Linked DNA regions of Pelodiscus sinensis. The protein of the gene in region 3 interacts with the protein of the main gene of each other region in a pairwise test. Links are inferred from orthologs where the notes say so. Each region holds a gene or a part of one and is shown on either strand. Other genes may lie near its edges. The genes, in order: SFMBT1, PRR13 and ZCCHC10.

Region 1 (7,123 bases), on a different chromosome or scaffold from region 3:
TGAGTCGCCCACATTATCTCACTCTCTACTCGCATGAGAGTAAAATGTTCGATTGCCACAGGCACCAGAAGAAGCTCCGATTCATTAATGCTAATTGCAGGTTTCCAAGCCATGGCTGTAATTGTTTACAATTGTAGACGTCTGGTATTTTGCTTTCAGTGTTGGCTCATTTGATGCAATTATCCTCTTTGTGTCTTTCGTTTAGGCAAGTAGAATAGAGGAATTCTAGTGCCCCTTGAATTTGACAAGTCAGATGAGAAACTGCTTTCAAATCAGGAATTCAGATAATGGAGACGAGCCTGAAAGAGTTCTGACTCACTTCGAGATTCCATACCTAGCCAAAGGCCTCGTTTTGGTTCGGAGGAATCAGAGCCATATTCAGTACAAGAAAGGCTAGAAAATGCAGTCCAAGTCGTAGTTCTCCTAGTAATCCACAATGAAGGGAATAAACAGTAGCTAACCTGTGCTTCGTTCCTGATGTATCTTTGTAGTCTCTCCTTCTGCTTCTCCCACCCGTTCCTCTGCTACTGGCTTTACTTGTTTTCTCTCATAATTCCCTGCTGCTCTCTACTTTCAATACCATTAAGTAGGATTTAAAATGTACTGTTTGCAAAGAAAAAGAATGAGTTCATTTTCGGCAACAGCCCTTTTTATGTGGCGAGGTGGAGGGCTAATAGTGAAAGTAGTTATGTAGCCATTCATGACAGACATTTTGAGGCAACATAGAACCAAAGAAAACCACACAGTGTAGGGTTGCCAGGTGTCTGGTATTCATAGAATCACAGAGCTGGAAGAGACCTCAGAAGGTCATCAAGTCCAGCCCCCTGCTCTACACAGGACCAATCCCAACTAAATCAACCCGGCCAGGGCTTTGTCAAGCCAAGACTTAAACACCTCTAGGGATGGAGACTTCACTACTTCCCTAGGGAACCCATCCCAGTGCCTCATCACCCTCCTAGTGAAATAGTTTTTCCTAATATCCACCCTGGACCTCTCTCACCACAACTTGAGACCATTGCTCCTTGTTCTGCCATCTGTCACTACAGAGAACAGCCTCTCTCCATCCTCTTTGGAACCTCCCTTCAGGAAGTTGAAGGCTGCTATCAAATCCCCCCTCACCGGACAGTTTTTGAACTGGACAGCCCAGTATTTGCACCTTCTGGCCAGCAAAAAAATTCAGAAAATACTGGACATGTACAACTGGTATTTTCTGTTTTTCCTGGCTCAGATGTCCGACAGAAGGGCAGTTGGGACACATGGTGCAGCTCGGGTTGGCTGGGGGAGGACGGAGCGGTCCAGGAATTAAAAGGGCTACAACCGTATTTCGGCCCCGATAAGTCCTTTTTTTGCTCAACAAGTTTTTCTGTGTTTTTGTTTTTTTCTCTTTTTTTGCTCAACAGAATTTTTTCCCATGGGGGGGAGCGGGGAGAAATTCGGTAATTTTTGTTAAACCATCTGGCAACCCTACATAAGTGTCATTGAGATTGGAAAAGCAGCCCTTTTAGAAACCATTCTACTGCAAAGGCCTTCCTCTTTGATTGCTTAATACAGGGACAATTTGCAGAATTATGCTTGATGTTATCCAACATGGGCATAGAAAACAAGTCTTTTTAAAGGCCTATGCCAGCTGCAAATATTTCTCACACACGCAAACAAACCCATCGTAGGGGACTTTAAAAAAACAAAAACAAACAAAAAATCCCAAACAGTTGCTGAGTTGTTCTTCTAGTTGTCGAGTTATTCTTACTTGATTTGGAGATAGCTGCCTCCGCTATCAAAGGAGGGAGGTGGTCTCATCTGCTATGTCTACAATTTGGGATATCTCAGTATCCCGATACAGCTACTCTGCATCTTTGAAACACACCCATTATTTCAACATGTTTTTTGAAATAATGGGCATGTTATTTCACCATCCCTGTAAACCTCATTGCACAAAGGTTAAGTGTGTTGAAATAGCGCGTCTACACAGCGCCAAATTTCAAAATAGCTTCTTTCAAATTTATTTGTATAGATACGAATTGCATATCTTATTTTGGGTTCAACATGCTGTGCAGACACACCCACAAGCATGGTCTGTTGTACAGGATACACAACACATATTTAATTCATTTAGCTGACAAGGATGTGTGTGCATCCCTGACATAACCAGGCAGAGGATCAAATTGATTAGAAAAGAGAAAGCATCTCATCAAACATCAACCCAGCAGTAACCAGCAATTCTTAGGAAATAAAGCAAAAAATGTGATCGCTTGCTGAGGTTAATGGCAAATACTATGACAGTAAGTTTTTTAAGATGAACTGAAAAGGAAAATGCCACCTACAGATTCTAGTATATCATGTATGTGGTACACAAACAAGTTTTCATGGTAATAGAATGTACTCTGCAACAGCTAACTTAATATACATATGTTGTAACCAGGTCTAAGTAAAGTAACTACCAGTTTATACCTTTCCTGCATATTTTATGGTTTGTACAACTGGCAACACTGAATGAATTCTGACTCACACCAGGGAAATGCTGAATATAAAAGCATGCTTTCAGAACAGCACGGCCAGTAGCCAGTCAACTCTCTTAACTGGCTTACCACATTTTATAAACATCAAACAAAATTCAGGCATCACGTCAGCTATTTAGTAAGGCATCACCCGATGGTACCCCAACTGAACCTGGTACTTCATGCAGTAAAAAAAATCAAATGTTCCTACCTTGATACGTGTATATATAACCAAAGTTGAAAAACAAATATAAAATCAAATGCATTCGTGCCAAAACATTAATGTGCCTGCCACCTGATAAAACTAATGTCCAATATTATGAAACTGACGGAACATGTCCAATTCTGCACGTTCGAAGAGGAGTTCATCTAGTGAACCAGCCATAAGATCTGATGTGGAATACTGAAGTAGCTCAACTTTTTAGTCACATTCCTGCAAAGCTTTCTTCACAGCAACCATCCCATTGGCTTGCCTGAAACTAAACACATGAATAAGAAAGGGCTGCTTACATGAGTACGTGCCTGGGAGGTAGGTTGTGTTGCATTTTACGGCTGTAGGGCAGAAGCACATGTGTAAGTAGATCAGAATGGAGACACTGTGACCACACAGCTACATGTAATACTACGTAATAAGGGGAAGTGATAGTATAATGTAAAAAATGCAAAAATTTGAAAACAAGAAAACAGGAAAACCAATGCGACCACAATCTGAGCTTACTCTCCAGCAATGAGCAATGGCAATACAAACAACAGTTCTCTAACCTCAGTGTACGGGGGCCAGTCCACAAGCACTGTGTTCCATAGTAACGATGAAGTGCAAAAAGACATTGTTTTTGTTGAAAGCCGACTGTTCTTGGATGGTTCACATACATGAAATGGAAACTGTACCTGGTCTACTGACTGTACGTAGAATGTTTGTCATTAACCCTATTGAAGGAAATATGCATCTAATATTGCTAGGCAATGTTACAATTCAACTGGTATTGATTTCTACTGGATGGGGCACTGGACAAGGATTTGGGAGACCAGGCTCTATTTCTGCCTCTGACGTGACCTTTGGTAATCACTTCATCTCAGACATCACCCTCTTATTTGGCCCCATAGCGCAAGCCTCATGGTCATCCTTGCACAAGCTCTTTCGCTCTACGCAAGAAAATAATTCCTGTTGCTGAGTGTAGCTTATTCCCACCCTACCCTGCAGGCAGCCCCTAGATCAGCTGACCTGAATGCTACCTTTATTCTATTTTCAGTCCTGAAGAAATGAGCATTTCAAAGTTAGCATGTACTTGCAGTGCTGACAGCAGTAAGGCACAAAAATACCCATGTGGGAGGAAACAGATGTGTGATTAAGCCACAGAAGAGCTCCATCATCTCACAGCCAGAGGTGTGGGAGAGCTCAGGGTATGATTCTTACCATCAGATACAGGCAGTTTAACAGAGCAATGAGAAGAATTTGGCCTGGATTGTCAAGGGAAATGTTCTTGACGATGTAGTAGATTAGGCTGTGAAACAGTCACCGAAAGGAAGTGTCGTCACCCCTTCACTTGGGACTTTTTAACGCGAAATTGGGCAATGTGTTAAAAAATGCAATGATGGGAACAGTCCTGGACTGGCTTGGAGATTGACAGGATGATCTAATGGCTCTTCTCCCCCTCTCTGGCTGCCATGACAATACAAACCCTCACCAATATACTGTAATATGAAGGGTTTGGCTTCTTGACACGAGTCTGGAATGTCAGAGCTAAGACTGCCATGCTAACTTTATGCTCTTCTCCCAAAAGTTTTAGGGCCTGAGCCTTCACACCCCCAACACTTTAATATGTGAGTTCAGGTCTCAAGCTATGACTGAGGCCTTGCCCAATCCTTGTGTATTTTAGCACAACACCACTTGATTTTAGGGGCATACATGAGACCAGTTCTGATGGTTTTAGATTTGTTTGTGTTTTCTGACCTTTGATTTTTAAGGAATCTTACATAAAAACTGCCCATCTTAGCACTCCATCCCCGCCAGCTGGAACCTCCCTGAGAGCAAAAATGCAAGATCCAAAGGATTCCAAAAAGAGTTATGCACTAGACACTGGCTGAAATTCTCTAGCCACATGGTCTTGTACAAAAGTACTCTAATATGCAGCGGCGGATTTAGGGCAGGGTGAGCGGGGCGGCTGTCCCGGGCCCCGCGCTTCCTGAGGCCCCGCGCATGCGCCTTGGCACCACAGCGCATGCGCTGTGTCAAAGGGGGGGGGGCATGAAATGTTGCTGCCCGGGGCCCCGCGGCGCTGCCCTGGGCCCCGTGGCACTCTCATCCGCCCCTGCTAATATGGTATGTACTGAGCTGACGAGTCTGAGGAAATGGTCAGAATGGTCTATATTAGGGCTGTCAAGCAATTAAAAAATGAATCAGGATTGTGTTGTTAATAATAGAAAACCATTTATTTACATAGTTTTGAATTTTTTTACATTTTCAAATGACACAGAATATGAAGTATACAGTGTTTACTTTATATTTATTTTTATTACAAAGTGAAATCGTATTACAAATCGTGAAAAACAAAAGAAATTGTATTTTTCAATTAACCTAGTACAACTATTGCAGAAGCAATTTCTTTATCATGAAACTTGAAATAATGTAGAATTAAGTACAAAAAAACCTTCCTTCAATAATAAAACAATGTAAAACTTTAGGGACTAGAAAGTCCACTCAGACCTACTTCTTGTACAGCCAAATGCTCATTCAAATAAGTTTGTTTACATTTGCAGGAGATAATGCTGCCTACTTCTTGTTTACAATGTCATCTGAAAGTGAGAACAGGCATTCGCATGGCTCTGTTGTAGCCAATGTCGCAAGATATTTATGTCAGATAGCTGAGATATGCTAAAGATTCATATGACCTTTCATGCTTCAACTACCTTTCCCTACATCCATGCTGATGACAGATTCTGCTAATGACAATCCAAAGCAGACTCAATTGATGCATTTTCATTTTCATCATCTGAATTACATGTCACCAGCAGATTTTTCTTTTTGGTGGTTTGAGTTTTACTCTTTTAAGATGTCTCAAAGCTTGCTTTACACTTTATACCGCTCACATTTTGGACAGCACTTCAGATTCGTAAATGTTGGGTTGAGTGCTGTAGCTATCTTTAGAAATTTCACAGTGCAATTTGCATTTTCTTCCTCACATTTTGTCAAATCTGCAGAGAGAGTTCTTAAAATGAAAAACATGCTGGGTCATCATCTGAGACTGCTATAACATGAAATATATGGCAGAATATGGGTAAAACAGCAGGAAATATACAATTCTCTCCCAAGGAGTCCAGTCATAAATTTATTTAATGCCTTATTTTTAACGAGTGTCATCAGCATGGAAGCATGTCCTCTCAAATGGTGGCTGAAGCCTGAAGAGGCAAATGAATATTTGGCATATCAGGCATGTAAAAATCTTGCCATGCCAGCTACAAAAGTGTTACGTGAATGAATGGCTGTTCTCACTTTCAGGTGTCATTGTAAATAAAAAGCAGGCAGCATTATCTTCTGCAAATGTAAACAAACTTATTTGTCTGTGTGATTGGCTGTACAAGAAGTAAAACTCTAAAGTCATTATACATACACACACACATATATGAATACAATTTTGTAACAAAAAAATATCTAGGGCTGTGTCTAGACTGGCAAGTTTTTCCGCAAAAGCACTTGCTTTTGCGCAAAAACTTGACAGCTGTCTACAATGGCCGCTTGATTTTGTGCAAAAGCACTGACATTCTACTGTCCAAAATCAGTGCTTCTTGCGCAAATGCTTTGACGTTCCTGTTCAGGCAAAAACCCTTTTCCGGAAATGTTTTTGCGCAAGAGGGCCAGTGTAGACCGCTAAAAACTGTTTTGCGCAAAAAAGCCCCGATGGCGAAAATGGCGATCGGGGCTTTCTTGCACAAAACCGCATCTAGAAGTGCTTTTGCGGAAAAGCGTCCGTGCCAATCTAGACGCTTTTTTTCCGCAAATGCTTTTAATGGAAAAACTTTGCCAGTCTAGACGTAGCCTAAATGTATAAGTTTCACTTTCACAATAAAGAGATTGCACTATAGCACTGGTATGAATTGAAAAATACTGTTTCTTTTGTTTATCATTTGAACAATACAATTATTGGCAATTAAACTAAAGTGAGCACTGTGCACTTTGTATTCTGTGTTTTAACTGAAATCAACATATTTGAAAATATAGAACATCCACTTATGTAATACATTTCAATTGGTATTCTATTGTATATCAGTGCAATTAAAGCTGTAATTAATCATGATAATTTTTGAAATAATTATTTGAATTAATTGTAATTTATCAACGGTCCTTGTCTTTATATACATTTATATTCTCCCTAAAGGAAGTCTGTGATTGATTTGCTCATTAATACATTTTCCCTTTTGTTACAATCGCAAATTGGATATTTCTGGGATGTCAGCAAAATATCAACCTAGCCACATTCAAGTAAGAAGCTAATTTTGCTCGTTGCTTGAGTCTCCCAGATGAAAGGGAACCTGGTGGCAATTAGCCTGCAATTCTGAAAACTGGGCTGTTGTGCTTAAGTCACTGATGTTACATAGGAGATTTATGTAATTTTTCACTGACCAGCTTTTGT
Region 2 (7,186 bases), on a different chromosome or scaffold from region 3:
GAGTTTCATCGGGAGGCACCTAGGTCTTGGATTTTCTATAGCCCCAGCCAACCTGCCTCCCACGGCGCTAGGGCGACCGGCTGCAGCCGCCAGGGTGGCCCGGGAGCCCTCGGGGAGAGAGTTACGCAAACTCCCGGCAAGCGGACGGAGGCGGAGTGACGGCCTGGTGCAGCTAGGAGAGCAGCCTTTTCACCGTGAGAGCCCCGGCCCTTGGGGGGATCCCTGCGGCCTGGGCAGCTAATCCTGTTTCACTCCACAGCCGGGGGCCGCTCCTCAGAGGGTCACGGGAAAAGACCAGCTCAGGAGCGGGAATCTTCCCCCTTGCACTCTGCAGCGTCCTGCCGAATCTGCCCCCAGCCCCCTTCCCAGGGAGCAGCCACGCCGCGCCGGGCGAGCGCCAAACCTGCCGCTTTGGAGGGGCCCTGCTGGGGCAGAGAGCAGGCGAGCGTCAGAGGGGAGGCCAGAGGAGCAGCGGAGAACCCCGCCAGCGCGCCCAGCACCCCTCACCTGCGTTGGGATCCCACATGCTCAGAGAGGAGGCGTCTCCGGTCACCTGGAGGGGGAGAGAGGCTGTGAGGCAAAGCGGGGGTCAGCCAGGCCTCGGGCAGGGGGGGGCCCTAAAGGAGATCAGGGCCCACCCTTGAGGCTGCTGCCTGCCTAGACCCGGGCGCCCCGCTGGCAACACAGCCTGGGGGTCCAGCCCTGGCAACAAAGGGCGGAAGGGGAGTCCGGAGAGGGGCAGCGATTTGCCCCAGGTCCCCTGGCAGGGGTCTGCTAGCGCAGCGCTCAGCCACCGGCCCCACGGCCGCCACGGGGGGGTCAGGGCCCTGGTCCCCTCCCGCCCCGCGGGCCCCAGGCACAGGGGCGACCGGCAGGAGGCAGCAGCTGCCGCTTTCTCCCCTGGAGCCCCAGCCCCGGGTCGGACAACGTGGCCTGGGGGCTCGGAGCCGGCGGAAGTTCAGTGTCAGCCCCCCCCCGCCCCCCCCAGCAGGGGCAGTTCAGTGTCAGCCCCCCCCCGCCCCCCCCAGCAGGGGCAGTTCAGTGTCAGCCCCCCCCGCCCCCCCGAGCAGGGGCAGTTCGGTGTCAGCCCCCCCCGCCCCCCAGCAGGGGCAGTTCGGTGTCAGCCCCCCCCCGCCCCCCCGAGCAGGGGCAGTTCGGTGTCAGCCCCCCCCGCCCCCCCGAGCAGGGGCAGTTCGGTGTCAGCCCCCCCCGCCCCCCCGAGCAGGGGCAGTTCGGTGTCAGCCCCCCCCCGCCCCCCCGAGCAGGGGCAGTTCGGTGTCAGCCCCCCCCCGCCCCCCAGCAGGGGCAGTTCGGTGTCAGCCCCCCCCCGCCCCCCCAGCAGGGGCAGTTCGGTGTCAGCCCCCCCCCGCCCCCCCCGAGCAGGGGCAGTTCGGTGTCAGCCCCCCCCGCCCCCCCCAGCAGGGGCAGTTCGGTGTCAGCCCCCCCCCGCCCCCCCCAGCAGGGGCAGTTCGGTGTCAGCCCCCCCCCGCCCCCCAGCAGGGGCAGTTCAGTGTCAGCCCCCCCCCCCGCCCCCCAGCAGGGGCAGTTCAGTGTCAGCCCCCCCCCGCCCCCCAGCAGGGGCAGTTCAGTGTCAGCTCCCCTCCACCCCCCCGAGCAGGGGCAGTTCAGTGTCAGCTCCCCCCGCCCCCCGCAGCAGGGGCAGTTCAGTGTCAGCCCCCCCCCGCCCCCCCCAGCAGGGGCAGTTCAGTGTCAGCCCCCCCCGCCCCCCGAGCAGGGGCAGTTCAGTGTCAGCCCCCCCCGCCCCCCCCAGCAGGGGCAGTTCAGTGTCAGCCCCCCGCCGCCCCCCCCCAGCAGGGGCAGTTCAGTGTCAGCCCCCCCCCAGCAGGGGCAGTTCAGTGTCAGCCCCCCCCGCCGCCCCCCCGAGCAGGGGCAGTTCGGTGTCAGCCCCCCCCCGCCATCCCCCAGCAGGGGCAGTTCAGTGTCAGCCCCCCCCGCCCCCCCAGCAGGGGCAGTTCAGTGTCAGCCCCGCCCGCCCCCCGAGCAGGGGCAGTTCAGTGTCAGGCCCCCCCAAGCAGGGGCAGTTCGGTGTCAGCCCCCCCCCCCAGCAGGGGCAGTTCAGTGTCAGCCCCCCCCCGAGCAGGGGCAGTTCGGTGTCAGCCCCCCCGGGCCGGGGGGGGTCCATTCAGGGGACAGCGCTTTGCAATTCCCCCCCCCGTTCCCAGCCCCCGCCCTCTGCACAGGAGCCGCCCCGAGCCAAGCGGAACCGGCCGCCCCGCCCGCGCAGGGTCCAAGGGCAGGCGGAGCGCCCCGCCCGTGGCGCTCTGCAAGCGGGGCCGGGGCTCAGCAACGCGGTGCGCACCCACAGCCCGGGGGGGCCACGCCGGAGCCGAACCGATCTAGCCGCCTACAGCAGAGGAGAGTCGGCTCTGGGGCGCAGGAGTTAGGGGGGGGGGAAGGGCTGGATGGGTCCTGACTGGCAGGGCAGGGGATACGCGTACACACAGGGACGGGCGGGGGGGGAGGGGGGACACAGGGGGGAGGGGACGGGGGGGTGCAGGGGGACAGAGGGGGGAGGGGGAGGGGACGGGGGGTGCAGGGGGGCACGGTGCAGGGGGCACAGAGGGGGGAGGGGACGGGAGGTGCAGGGGGACACAGGGGGGGAGGGGACGGGGGGTGCAGGGGGGCACGGTGCAGGGGGCACAGAGGGGGGAGGGGACGGGAGGTGCAGGGGGACACAGGGGGGAGGGGACGGGGGGGTGCAGGGAGACACGGGGGGGAGGGGACGGGGGGGTGCAGGGGGCACAGAGGGGGGAGGGGACGGGGGGTGCAGGGGGGCACGGTGCAGGGGGCACAGAGGGGGGAGGGGACGGGGGGTGCAGGGGGCACAGAGGGGGGAGGGGGGGTGCAGGGGGGCACGGGGGGGGGACGGGAGGTGCAGGGGGGCACGGGGGGAAGGGGACGGGAGGTGCAGGGGGGCACAGTGGGGGGGGGACACACAGACACCCGCCCCCCCTCACTCACCTCGACTCGGCACCGCGCTGCCCAGCTGAGCCCCGCCGGCTTCCTGGAGCGCGGTGGCCCCGCCCCCCGTGACTGTCCGTCACCGCCCGGTGGCCCCGCCCCCCGCGGGCAGGCAGCGGGAGGGGGCGGGGCCAGGCCCGGACTCCTGGGTTCTACCCCGAGGGGTGGGGGGGCGGCAGGGCAGCGCGCCCTAGCGGTTAGCGATGGGCTCGGGCCTCAGGCTGCTGGAGTCTCCCGGGGGTCGCCTGGCCCGGCCTCGGGGGCGCGGGGCAAACTCCGGGAGCAGCAGCCGCAGCGTCTGAGGGGTTTGCGGGTGGCTGTGCCTCAGTTTCCCCGCCAGGGGTACCATCGCCCCTCCACCGTGGGAGCAGGGCACGGCAGGGCGGGGGGCGGACGACGCTCGGGAGGTTCACCCGCTAATGCTGGAGAGGTGCCTCAGAGAGGAGGTGGCGAAGAAATATTCGGGCTCCCGTCTCACACTGGAAATCCACCCTGCGCAGGAGGAAGGGTGGGCCACCAGCCTGAAGATCTGGAGCACAGTCTTGCCTCCGCCACGTTCGTCCCGGGTGACCTGGGGCAAGCCATAGAGTCCGCCCTGGGCCTCAGTTTCCCCACCCATAAATGAGGCTCATGTCCCACGGGGCGGGAGGATAAAACCTGCTGACGTGTCCGGCGCCCAGATGGGAAGCGGTGACAACAGGGGTGGGGCAGAGACCTCCCCCCGCTAGCCCTCACCTTTGTGCTCTTCATCAGCCCATGAAGCTGCCCAGAGGCTCTGCGAGGTGCAGGAGCGAATCGGTGGGAGACAAAGCTTAGGGGGCACCCCTCTGGGACAGCCCTGCCCCCAACACACACTGGCACCAGGGCCTGGCCTGGAGAGATTCGTCAGTATCGAGCCGTGGGTGTGTCCCAAGGGCACAGGCCGGTCCTGGAACGCAGCCCAGTCACACAGCTCTGACGCCGCTGCGGGAAAGCCAGGCTCACCTGGCAGCCGCACCCAGGGCCTTAAGGAGCCTGCTCTGCCCAGGATATTGGGCAGCGGGGCGCTGGGCCTACGGGGGGGGGGAGGGATGTGGAGGAATCTCTGGGGAAAACTGGAAAAGTTTTAGTCATTGGGCTGTTTGCAGGCTGGCTGGAGCAGATGACTGGGCGGCAGGACTCCTGGGTTCTCTCCCTGGCCCACGAAGGGGAGTGGGCCCTAGTGGGCAGGGGAGGGCAGGACCCAGCTGTAATGGCTGTGTTATAGACACAGACTGACCCTGAGGTTTCTGAGACGGGACCGCTGTAAACCCTGGCCTGGAAGGGACGCTGAGCTCCCTAGGGGCTCTGGCTCCCGCTGGTAAGAGGTTCGCAGTGCTGGAGAAATTACGGGCTGGATTCCTGTGGGGCTGAGCTCTGGAAAGCAGCCCTGAGTCCTGCGCCCCCCACTCTCCACCCCCCACAGTCCTGACGCTCCGCCCGGCTGCAGGGACCAGCCTCCTGGACGCTGTGGGGGGACCGGCCTTCTGGACAGAGACTCCGGAGCTGGGGCTGGCTGTGCAGCCAAGGGACGGCTGGAGGGGGGATTTCAGGCTGAGGCTCGGGGCCGATAGGGCAGGCGAGGGCCTAACAGGGGCCTGCGTCGTGGGGGGCTCCTCACCAGGGGCAGAGTTAACGTGAGGGGACGATTTCCTAACGGCCCCGCTGCTCCAGGTGGGAGGTAACTCAGGGCCGTGCCGGCCGGTGGTGGGCAGGCAGCTGAGACGATCACAGGTGGGCCTTTGGGCCTGAGAAACTAGGCAAGAGGACCCCAAACTGCAAGGCAACCCGCCCGGGGAACTAAGGGGGAGGTAGCAGAGCCCAGAGCTAGCCCTGCGACGTGCGAGGGCCCCAGCGGATCCTCAGGAGTCACCCCGGAGTGGGGGGGAAGGGGGAGAGTGACACCCAGTCCCTACTGACTCCGCCTCTAGTCCTGCCTCCACCCCCTCTGTCTCTGCCGCCACTTGACCCCTGATCCCCCCAGCTCAGTCCTGGCCCCAGCACTGAGGAGGCGCAGACAAGGCTAAAGGGGGCAACACCGATCTATGCGCATCCTGCGGCAGTGGATCAGACGGGCTCCAGGCCCCACATCCCCTGACACCAGGGGAGCCCGCGGGCCCGTCTTAGCTCGCCCGTCAACTTCAAAAAGATCTCACCAAACTAAGTGACTGGGCAACACAATGGCAAATGAAATTTAATGTGGAGAAATGTAAAGTAATGCACACTGGAAAAAATAACCCCAATATATAATACAATATGATGGGGGCTAATTTGGCTACAACTAATCAGGAAAGAGATCTTGGAGTCATCGTGGACAGTTCTTTGAAGACGTCCACGCAGTGAGCAGCGGCAGTCAAAAAAGCAAACAGGGTGTTAGGAATCATTTAAAAAGGGATAGAGAATAAGACGGAGAATATCTTATGGCCCTATATAAATCCATGGGACGCCCACATCTTGAATACTGTGTACAGATGTGGTCTCCTCACCTCAAAAAAGATAGACTGGCATTAGAAAAGGTTCAGAGAAGGGCAACTAAAATGATGAGGGGTTTGGAACGGGTCTCATAGGAGGAGAGATTAAAGAGACTGGGACTTTTCAGCTTGGAAAAGAGGAGACTAAGAGGAGGTAGGATCGAGGTCTATAAAATCCTGAGTGGTGTGGAGAAAGTGAATAAGGAAAAGTTATTTACTTGTTCCCATCACATAAGAACTAGGGGCCACCAAATGAAACTAATGGGCAGCAGGTTTAAAACAAATACAAGGAAGTTCTTCTTCACACAGTGCATTGTCAACCTGTGGAACTCCCTGCCTGAGGAGGTTGTGAAGGCCAGGACTAAACAGGGTTTAAAAGAGAACTAGATACATTCATGGATGTTAGGTCCATTAATGGCTACTAGCCAGGCTGGGTAAGGAATGGTGTCGCTAGGCTCTGTGTGTCAGAGGGTGGAGATGGATGGCAGGAGAGAGGTCGCTTGATCATTGCCTGTTCGGTTCACTCCCTCTGGGGCACCTGGCATTGGCCACTGGGGGCAGACAGGACACGGGGCTGGATGGACCTTTGGTCTGACCCCGTCTGGCCGCTCTCATGTTCTTAGTAGACTAGGCTTCAGGCTCAGCTGCATGGCGGCAAGGGGCTTTGCTGCTCGGTGCCTCAGTTTCCCTTCCCACCCAGTGGCCATCACTGCAAGCACTTTGGGGCTCAGGGAGCAGTCAGTCCCGCTTCCTGAGTGTCAACCCCACAGCCCAGAGCCAGGAAGATCAGGAGCCTGGCCAAAGCACCATACTGTGGTACGGGAGTGGCTGCCTCCCAGGGCCCAAGGGAGCGGCGTGTAAGTGAGAGCCACCCTGAGGCCTGGACCCGGAAGACAGGACACGATTCAATGAAGATAAGAGCCGACCACACAGAAATCTGTGGCTAAGCCGCACGGGGGCTCGACCCTTTGATGTGGGGCACACGCCCACGGCCATAGCTTCTGGCCAGGTGGCCTGCAGGCCGGCTCACTGGCCGGATGGGCACCCGGGGGATGGAGAAGAGTCGTGTCAGCTCCACTAGGGGGCAGCCTGCTCAGGCAGCGCCGATCCCATCCAGCAGGGGTGATGGGGGGGGGGTCTGGACAACAGGAGCCGGGCGTGGAGCAGCCGGGGGCACTTCGCTGTCCCTGCCCCCCACGTCCCTCTTCCTCCGTCAGCACCAGCCCAGGGACCGTTCCCAGGCACCGTGTCCCGGGGGCAGCACCTTGGCCAGCTCAGCGCCCCCTGCTGACCACTCAGCCCCCAGGCTCTGGAGCCGCTGGCGGGTGCACTCTGCCGTCAGCCGGGCCTCGGGATCGGGGTCCCAGCAGTCCTCCAGCAGCTCCCGCAGGCCGACGGAGACCTGGGGCAGGAGAGGAGAGCAGAGGGGGTCTCTCAGGGCCTGGGCAGGCCTGGCTGGTGGAGTCGCCCGCAAGGTAACCTCCCACAGCAGAGACAAGACCCCCCCCACCCGTGGCCTGAGGGCAGGACTGGAAAGCCGGGGGCGGGTCACCAAAGGGTCTTGAGCTGGGGGAGTGACGCTACAGAGACGTATTGGGCGCCGGCCCTTTAAATGGGCAGCGTCCTCCCTCCCTCATCCCTGCCCACTCGTGTCCCCCTCCCCGTCCCCATTGTCCCTGCCCCCCCCAAGCCCCAGCACCTGGCCTGCCCGCCTC
Region 3 (7,528 bases):
GAAAAAGCCCTCTTGTGCAAGAATACTTGCACAAGAGGGCCAGTGTAGACAGGAAAGAACTGTTTTGCGCAAAAAAGCCCCGATGGCTAAAATGACGATTGGGGCTTTCTTACGCAAAATTGCATCTAGACTGGCCACGGATGCTTTTGTGCAAAAGCACTTTTTGCGCAAAAGCATCTGTGCCAATCTAGACGCGCTTTTGCAGAAATACTTTTAACGGAAAAACTTTTCCGTTAAAAGTATTTTCGCAAATCATACCAGTCTAGACGCAGGCTTATTGTTTTTCATATGTTTTCTCAGTCTCATATGTTTTCCTATGTTTTCTCTGCTTTCAGCTTCAGAATAAATGTACTTGATTAGAAAGAGCTTGATTATTTCGAACGCCCATTTCACTGCCGCTTGTAGACGCGGGCAGTTATTCCGGGCTTATCAATTTCAAAGATGGCACCCGGCCAAGAACATGCAAATCAAGCACGGGATATTTAGATTCTGGGCTTGATTTGCAATCCCAAATGCCTACATTTGCAGCCCTATTTCGAATTAGGCTGCAAGTGTAGACATACCCGAAGAGTCCATCACTTCTTCCACTTCCCAACCTGATCCCACAGAAAGAAAGAAACCTATTTTCTTCCTTGCTCCCAGCCCCACAATCCAACACTGCCAAAAGCTCCACTGTCCTATTGTGTTCTTCAGGCTTATAATTTCTTTGTTGCATGAGCCTCTTCTCTACCATTTATATTCTATCTGGTGGTGACCAGGGCTGGCCTTACTATGAGGCAGTCGCCTCTGGTGCCAAACTATGGGAGGGAGCCACTAGGACCCAGAGTGTAGAAAATTGTATCTGCTGCTGTTTCATATGTATTCTCTCCGCTCTAGATGCACAGAGATGGTGGAGTGCTGTGCTGGAGGAAGGAGGGCAAAAGAGACATAACAGGCATGCAGGAGAAATGGGGGCGTCATTTGAGCTCCCTGCCTCAGGTGCAAGAATGTTGTGGGTTGGTCCTGGTGGTGACTTTTGGAAAATGAATTTGGTAGATGTCAGTTCAAATCCTAGGGGCAGACATTTCTGACACTAATGTCACCATCACACTTGGAACTAGTATAGGGCAGTCTTTACAAAGGAGATATGGTCAATGTCTATGGGGATTTAACCACTCTTTCACCTTTAGACTTGGTCCATTGCAGGACTATGTGTACTCTTGCTTCCCAGACTGTTCTAGTTCTGTGATAAACAGAAAACTCTAGTCTCAGTACCATTAATCTGATATCTTGCTTTCATGAGGAATATATATGCTGGAAAAATATGGAGGGGAAGAATGTTAAATCTTTGAATAGGACCACAACAAGATATTTGCCTATTCCTTTTGATGAAGTGCCATGGAGAAGCCCAAGATTTCTGAACAGTATTAGATAAAAGTGGTTAAGAGCTAGCAGCAGACACAACTGATAAATTATTGACTGTTACAAAGGTACGTTTTCATCTATCTTGTTTTAAGAAAGTGTTAGTAACTCTGTCCTGGAATCAAAAGTTCTTCCTTACTTTCACCATCAGAAGATAGATTCAGGCTAAACACCAGGTACTGGCAGTAAATTCAGAAAACAAGAGTTAAATGCCACAAAAGAGAATTACAAGTGGCATCGCAGATACTGGAGGTCAGAAATTTTAAAAAATGCCAGAGTCAGATGTGAGTAGTCACAGATTAACACAAGGTATCACCCAAAGGGAGACAGGGATTAGAAGCCAGATAAAGCCCCATATAGTATGACACGTGACGCATAGGGCAACAGCAACCAGGCATTAGACATTACAATTGAAATGTTTAGAACTTGGAACTGCCATTAGATTCAGGAATGAGTCATACAATTAACTCTGATGAGCTGGAAATGTTTATCTAACAAAACTTTTTATTAACTTATCTGCTATAGGCAACATTTAATTGGTTGCCACTGCATCAAGAGGGTCCTATTATTAATAAAATACACATTGTATGTCTGCTGCTGGCATAGGTGAGGACTCCATTCTTTGTGGGCCCTTTAGAGTGTGCAAAAAACCTGCCTTGTAATTAATCAGAATTATATTTATTTACAATCAATTATAACATTAATTATACAGGTAAATGTGGCTTATTGAAATGGTATATACCCATTCTTTGGAGAGATCATTTATTTACTATATTATGGACCCATAAATCCTGGCTCCATATTTGATGCAGGGTTTAAGCTTTTTGTTTGAAGTAGGGTACTATTCTTTCTGTTATGGCGAGATATAAAGGCTGGGCCTGATAAAAATCAACACACACATACACATTTAGGGGGGAGATAGCATTTTTTGGGAAAGTTACAAGTAAACACTTTGAACATTAGGACTCCCAATTAGTTAAATGACTCCTTTTTTAAATTTGAGGACTGTCTGGTGTATCCTTGGATCTTCCTTGTTCAAAGCCAAACTGTCTCTGCAGAGACAAACTTTCAACATTTAAATTTCCTTGTCAGTTTGTATACAGGCTAGTATGCAATTATTCTGAACTATGTGAGGAAACAATTATAAATTGTACGGTTACAGTCAAGTATCTGCCTATAGTTTAAACAATTTTTAATTGGCAGCACTTGAATCAGAGGTACTTCAACCAATAATCACTCTTCTTCCCCACCTCATTTGTATACTGCAATTCTATTGGTTGAAATGAACTGATAGAGGGAAGAACTTGTATGAGTGTCAAGAGTTCGTATTGGTAGATTTCATCTGCACACAAACCAAAGGAACACTGGATTGGCTCAGAGTTGAGGTGCATTCATCTAGTAGTTGTATATATTTAAAAATATAAACAACCTAAGAAAACCCAGCAATCCACAGGAAGGGTACACTTCATTGTGCAAAATATAGCATGTGAGTATGTGTGAAATGTGTTATATACATTTATACTGACAGTGTCTCTAGAGCCTAACAAAAACACAAAGTGGTAACACTTTGCCTAGTATCATACAGGAACTCTTAGGCCAAGCCATGTATGGAGTCAGTACAAGCACTGGGAAACAAGACCAGTTGTTATCCCTTTTGAATGGGCAGTTATCCTAGGGTTTCCAACTCTCTCGGAGAGGATGAACTGGATGCCATTACTACAAATGGCATCTAGTCTGTCCACTCAGGAGAGTTTTCAACCCTAAGTTATCCAAGAATTTGGGTCTTATTCAATTGGGAGGAGAAGTTGGTGATGGAATCGGGTGTGTGTATGATATAATCCAATCTATTTACAAAGTCCTGTTTCCTTGCACAAAGTGGAAGTCAAATAAAGGAGAGTGTCCTGGCTTAACTATCCAAGCTACTTTTTCTAGTCAGCACTTTGCCCCAAAGTGCTTTGTCATTGTTTTCCATGGGGCCATGTTCTCAGTGCTTTTTCTGACTGTGTCCATAGCACAAAGCAAGTCATATAAACCCAACTTTGTATAGGTAGTCACTAATTGCTCCTTATTTTCTGGGTACCCAACTGCAGACCCCTGGGTCTGATACACAGAAGTGCAAAGCACTCACATATGCATGTGAAATCAATGGGAGTTCTGCTTTTAACATACAAAGTTCTATATATTGCTAAGTACTTTGAAAAAATTGGGCATCTCAAATAGGGCCTAAATTATTGACCTATTGACCTTAGTCTCTGGTCCCTATTTGTAAATTGGGCATACCTTGCTTGAACCTCACAGGAGCTTTGTGAAGATAAAGAAACTGGTGTTTGTGAAGCACCTGGATGCTATAGTGATGAGCACCATAGAGGAAGCCCATAAGGAAACTAATAATCTCTGTCTTCAATGTGCCCTGTGACTACAGATCCTGACACACAAGGGTCCGTCTTGATTTGAAAAAGAACCTGATTTATAATATTTTCATAGAAGTCATTACCTGTAATTTATGTTGTACTTAGTCTGCAGAAACCCCACAGAGAAACTGATAAAATTACAGGCTTAACATTGCTCAAGGTAAACATTGGACAGGTAAACAATGCATTATACTTTTTTCAACATCAAGCGTGTTGGGATAATTGTTTGTCTTCAACTAATATTTAATGTAGAGGGCCAGGAAAGCGCCTTCATTTGTGATTATAATAGTCCTACAGCCCATAAGAAGGAGAAAGAACATAAGAATGACCATACTGGGTCAAACCAAAGGTCCATCCAGCCCAGTATCTGCGGCCAGTGAGAACACAAAAGTCACTTTATGCAGGACAGAGAAACAAGTCAAATCCATCAGTGTGAGGCTGAGAAGCATGAATAGACCAGCACAAGTCCAAAACAAGGTAGCAGCTGGTGCCTACGCATCTGTATACAAAACAAGGTAGCAGCTGGTGCCTACGCATCTCCCCAGGTCAGTGGGGAAGGGCACGGGAGAGAGTTTCACGTGGCCCAGGGAAGGGGCAGAAGCCTGGGAAGCAGGAGAGCGCGCTGGAGGACCAGCAAAGAGCCAGCCACCGGAGCTTCCGCTTCGCAGGAAGCTGCCCCGCCCGGAGAAGTAGAGACGAAGTGGAGGACGGGCCCCAAAGCGCGTCTTCTCTAGCCGCCCGAAGCCTGGCTCTTTATGGTAGACAGCGGCCGGCTTCTCCCGCAATGGGGAAGGCGGAGAAGGGCGGAATTGCCCGGCATGCAGCGCGGCGGGCCCTTCTCTGCTCGCCTCACTTCCCGGCCAGGGGCTAAGATGGCGACTCCCATGCACCGACTCATCGCTCGGCGGCAGGCGTGAGTGCGCCGGGCTAAGGGAGCGTCCCCGGAGACAGCGGCTCCCCGAGGGGCAGCCCGGGAGAAGCGGCGTCCAGCGGGCACGGGAGAGGGGGGCTGTCTTGGCGGGGAAGCCGCAGGGACGTGGGCTCTCCTGGGAGGGGAGCCGCGGGGGTCGCTGCGGCCCGTGTATGGGGAGGTCTCGCTGCCTTCACCCGTCCCGGAGAGCGTGCGGGTTGGGTGTGGAGCCAGCCCTGCGGGGGGCAGGTAGCGGCGGCTGGCCGGGCTCGCGGCGTTTGCCAGAGGAGCGCTGGTACAGGCGGCGAAGGGCAGTAAATGATGCGCGGCGTGTGTACAGGACCCCTCGTCTCCGCAGCCTCTGACGCGCAGCCCCACGGTTAAAGGGCTGTAGCGTGCGAGCAGATGGTTCTTGTTTGAAAGCGAAGCGATGCATCTGTCTGGGAGGAAGCTCTTCCCTGTCTAGCCCAACGCAAACTCTAGTCACCCTGCGCTCACCGCGAACTGGGGCAGGCCTGCTGCTCGCTGGTTTCTGAAAACAGATTCTGTATTGCAGTATGGAAGATTAAGTTGAGCATGGTACGGAGCTTCTGCAACAGGCCATTGCAGGAATAATAGAAATTTTTTACATATCGGCGTGAGATAGCTAAGTACCATTAGTTTATATATCAGAAACTTGATAAACAAAGAGGTTGCATGGCATTGGGTTTTTGTCCCTCTTCAGAAGTTGAGGATATTTTTTTTTTTTTTTTTTACACCAGAATTTGAGGTCTTGAGTGTCCAGACTAGGGTGATGGAAGAAGTAGCAAATGGATGGTATTTGTAATAATCAAGAATGAAAGCTGAATGAGAGGGGAAGGATGTCTTAGTCAAGGCTTGCCTACAGTGGCAAGTTACTGCAATGTAATTTTCTGCTTAGGGATGTGAACTCCGCCCTCCCCCCACCACACGCACCAAGTTACAGTGCTGTAAAGTACCAGTGTGGATAGTGCTGCCCTGCTTTCAGCACTATTAGCGTCTCCCTTCTTTGAGGTAGTTTACTTAAAGTGCTGAACAAGTGTTCTCCTAGCACTTTTGCTGTGACTGCACTGTGTTAAAACAGTTAAAGTGAAGACAAACTCTGATTGTTTAAAACTCCAATTTTGAATAATTAACATTAATGTCTAATCAGTCATGCATTCTTTTCACAAATTGTTAATGGTTCTACACCCAAACCCGTCAGTGAAGGTGTAAGATGTCACAATACACCTATCTGAGGGAATGTCTACACCTAAAAGTAGACAAAACAAAAATTGTTCACAGTTGCTCCCTGTTTTGACAGATCAAGTCCACATTGGGGACACCATCATCGACACTGTGAGCAATGCGCTGTGGGTATGTATCCCACAGTGCAGTGTTGTGGGAAGGCAGAGCTGAACCCTGCACACCTTGTGATTCTTTTAGTTCTCTCAGCATCCTCAGCTGATGGGGCATCATCACGAGTAGCTCTGTTTCAGTGGTGAGAGTGGAAGGGCAGATAGGTGTGGCCCTCTCCTCCCACTTTTGCAGTGGGCAGCACCGCTGAGTTTGATCTGAGCATTAGTCTCCAGGGCAACTGCTGCCTTCAGTCCAACCAGCCTCGTGTGTCAGAATTCCTCCTATCCCTGCCCTGCTTAGCACTGCCTTGGATCCCAGCCCTGCCAGGAGCCCTTGGTTTCCTCAGGCTTCCTACCTTATTGATTGATTACTCTCCATGCTGAGGAATGCTGCCTCTTTCCCCATGCAGCAGCAGTCTGCCTGATGCTGTCTTCCTATTGCAGGGCAGAACAGGAGCATTCCAATGATTTATTCTTTGTTCCCCAAACTGAATAGCTCACTGAGCTGTCAGATACTTCCCAGAGCTTTCAAAGGGGAGGCGTGCATGCCTACAAGACAGCAGAGAACAAAACACTGAACAGAGCCATCAGGGGAGGCATTGTGGGATATTGGCGGGAGCCAGTTCTATCCTGGACAAAACACACAGTAGAATCTATGTTGCCTCTTAGTATTTCTTTGTACCAGGAAAAAAGAAAAAGGTCTCTCATTGAGTGAAAGTTTTTTGATGCTGAAACTAGGTATTTTTCCCCAGTAAAAGTTGTGTGAATGTTCTCGCTGTTGTCTCTCTAAAAGGCAATTTTTAGTGATAAAACTTTGTAGTGTAGATGTATCCTGAGAGACTCATGAGGTCCCCAAGTAGGAAAAACACAGAACGTTCTAAAGTTTAAAAACAGGAAGGGCAGAAAAAATCATTTCAGGTCTCTTTTACTCACACATCTATAGTAGTGCTCACAAAAAAAGGACAAGCCTACATTTTTCTTTTTAAATTGTTCAGGTCATCTTAAAGTAACTTGACCAAAGTAGGGATGTTAAATAACATAAATGAATAGTCAATTAACCTCATGAATTCTTACTGGTTACTCGACTATTCTGTAGTCCGCAAGGTGGGGCTGGCAGTGTGTGCTCTGGCCTCGTTCCCAGGGAGTCCCTTGCCACTCTGCTCTGCTGCCTCTGTATCAGCATAGAGTACCAGGTGAGAGTTGGTCCATGAGGGGAACCAGTTTAAAAACCAGCTCCCCTCATGGACTGGTTGCCTGTTGGCCCACACTGTTGCCTATGATACAGAGGCAGCAGCATGGGGTTCCAGCAGCCCCTGTCTAAGGGGTCTGAGCTCCTGAACCCAGCACAAGCCGGAACTGAGCCGGGCTGCCTGCCCGCCTGGCTCCTAATACACTTTAAATGTAGAGCCGCAGCGGAGGTAGGTCCCAGATCCAGCACAAGCCAGGCTGCT

Evidence for each region.
Region 1: the proteins of ZCCHC10 (region 3) and SFMBT1 interact in binary tests that used the Homo sapiens proteins (3 or more experiments, as listed by UniProt). The two-hybrid records come from large-scale screens. The link is inferred for Pelodiscus sinensis from reciprocal best matches to the Homo sapiens genes ZCCHC10 and SFMBT1.
Region 2: the proteins of ZCCHC10 (region 3) and PRR13 interact in binary tests that used the Homo sapiens proteins (3 or more experiments, as listed by UniProt). The two-hybrid records come from large-scale screens. The link is inferred for Pelodiscus sinensis from reciprocal best matches to the Homo sapiens genes ZCCHC10 and PRR13.

The regions. Positions count from the first base shown.
Region 1 is NC_134721.1:40,537,957-40,545,079, reverse strand, and holds the start of SFMBT1 (scm-like with four MBT domains protein 1), read right to left. Parts: upstream 3,026-7,123; 5' UTR 3,006-3,025; intron 1-3,005. UniProt on the Homo sapiens protein: Histone-binding protein, which is part of various corepressor complexes. Mediates the recruitment of corepressor complexes to target genes, followed by chromatin compaction and repression of transcription.
Region 2 is NC_134729.1:336,443-343,628, reverse strand, and holds the start of PRR13 (proline-rich protein 13), read right to left. Parts: upstream 3,096-7,186; 5' UTR 2,983-3,095; intron 554-2,982; 5' UTR 527-553; coding exon 508-526; intron 1-507. Other genes in the region: AMHR2 (anti-Muellerian hormone type-2 receptor), read right to left, coding at 6,685-6,873, 7,171-7,186. UniProt on the Homo sapiens protein: Negatively regulates TSP1 expression at the level of transcription. This down-regulation was shown to reduce taxane-induced apoptosis.
Region 3 is NC_134727.1:24,430,856-24,438,383, forward strand, and holds the start of ZCCHC10 (zinc finger CCHC domain-containing protein 10), read left to right. Parts: upstream 1-4,457; 5' UTR 4,458-4,567; coding exon 4,568-4,725; intron 4,726-5,341; exon of another isoform or gene 5,342-6,085; coding exon of another isoform or gene 6,086-6,096; intron 6,097-7,528.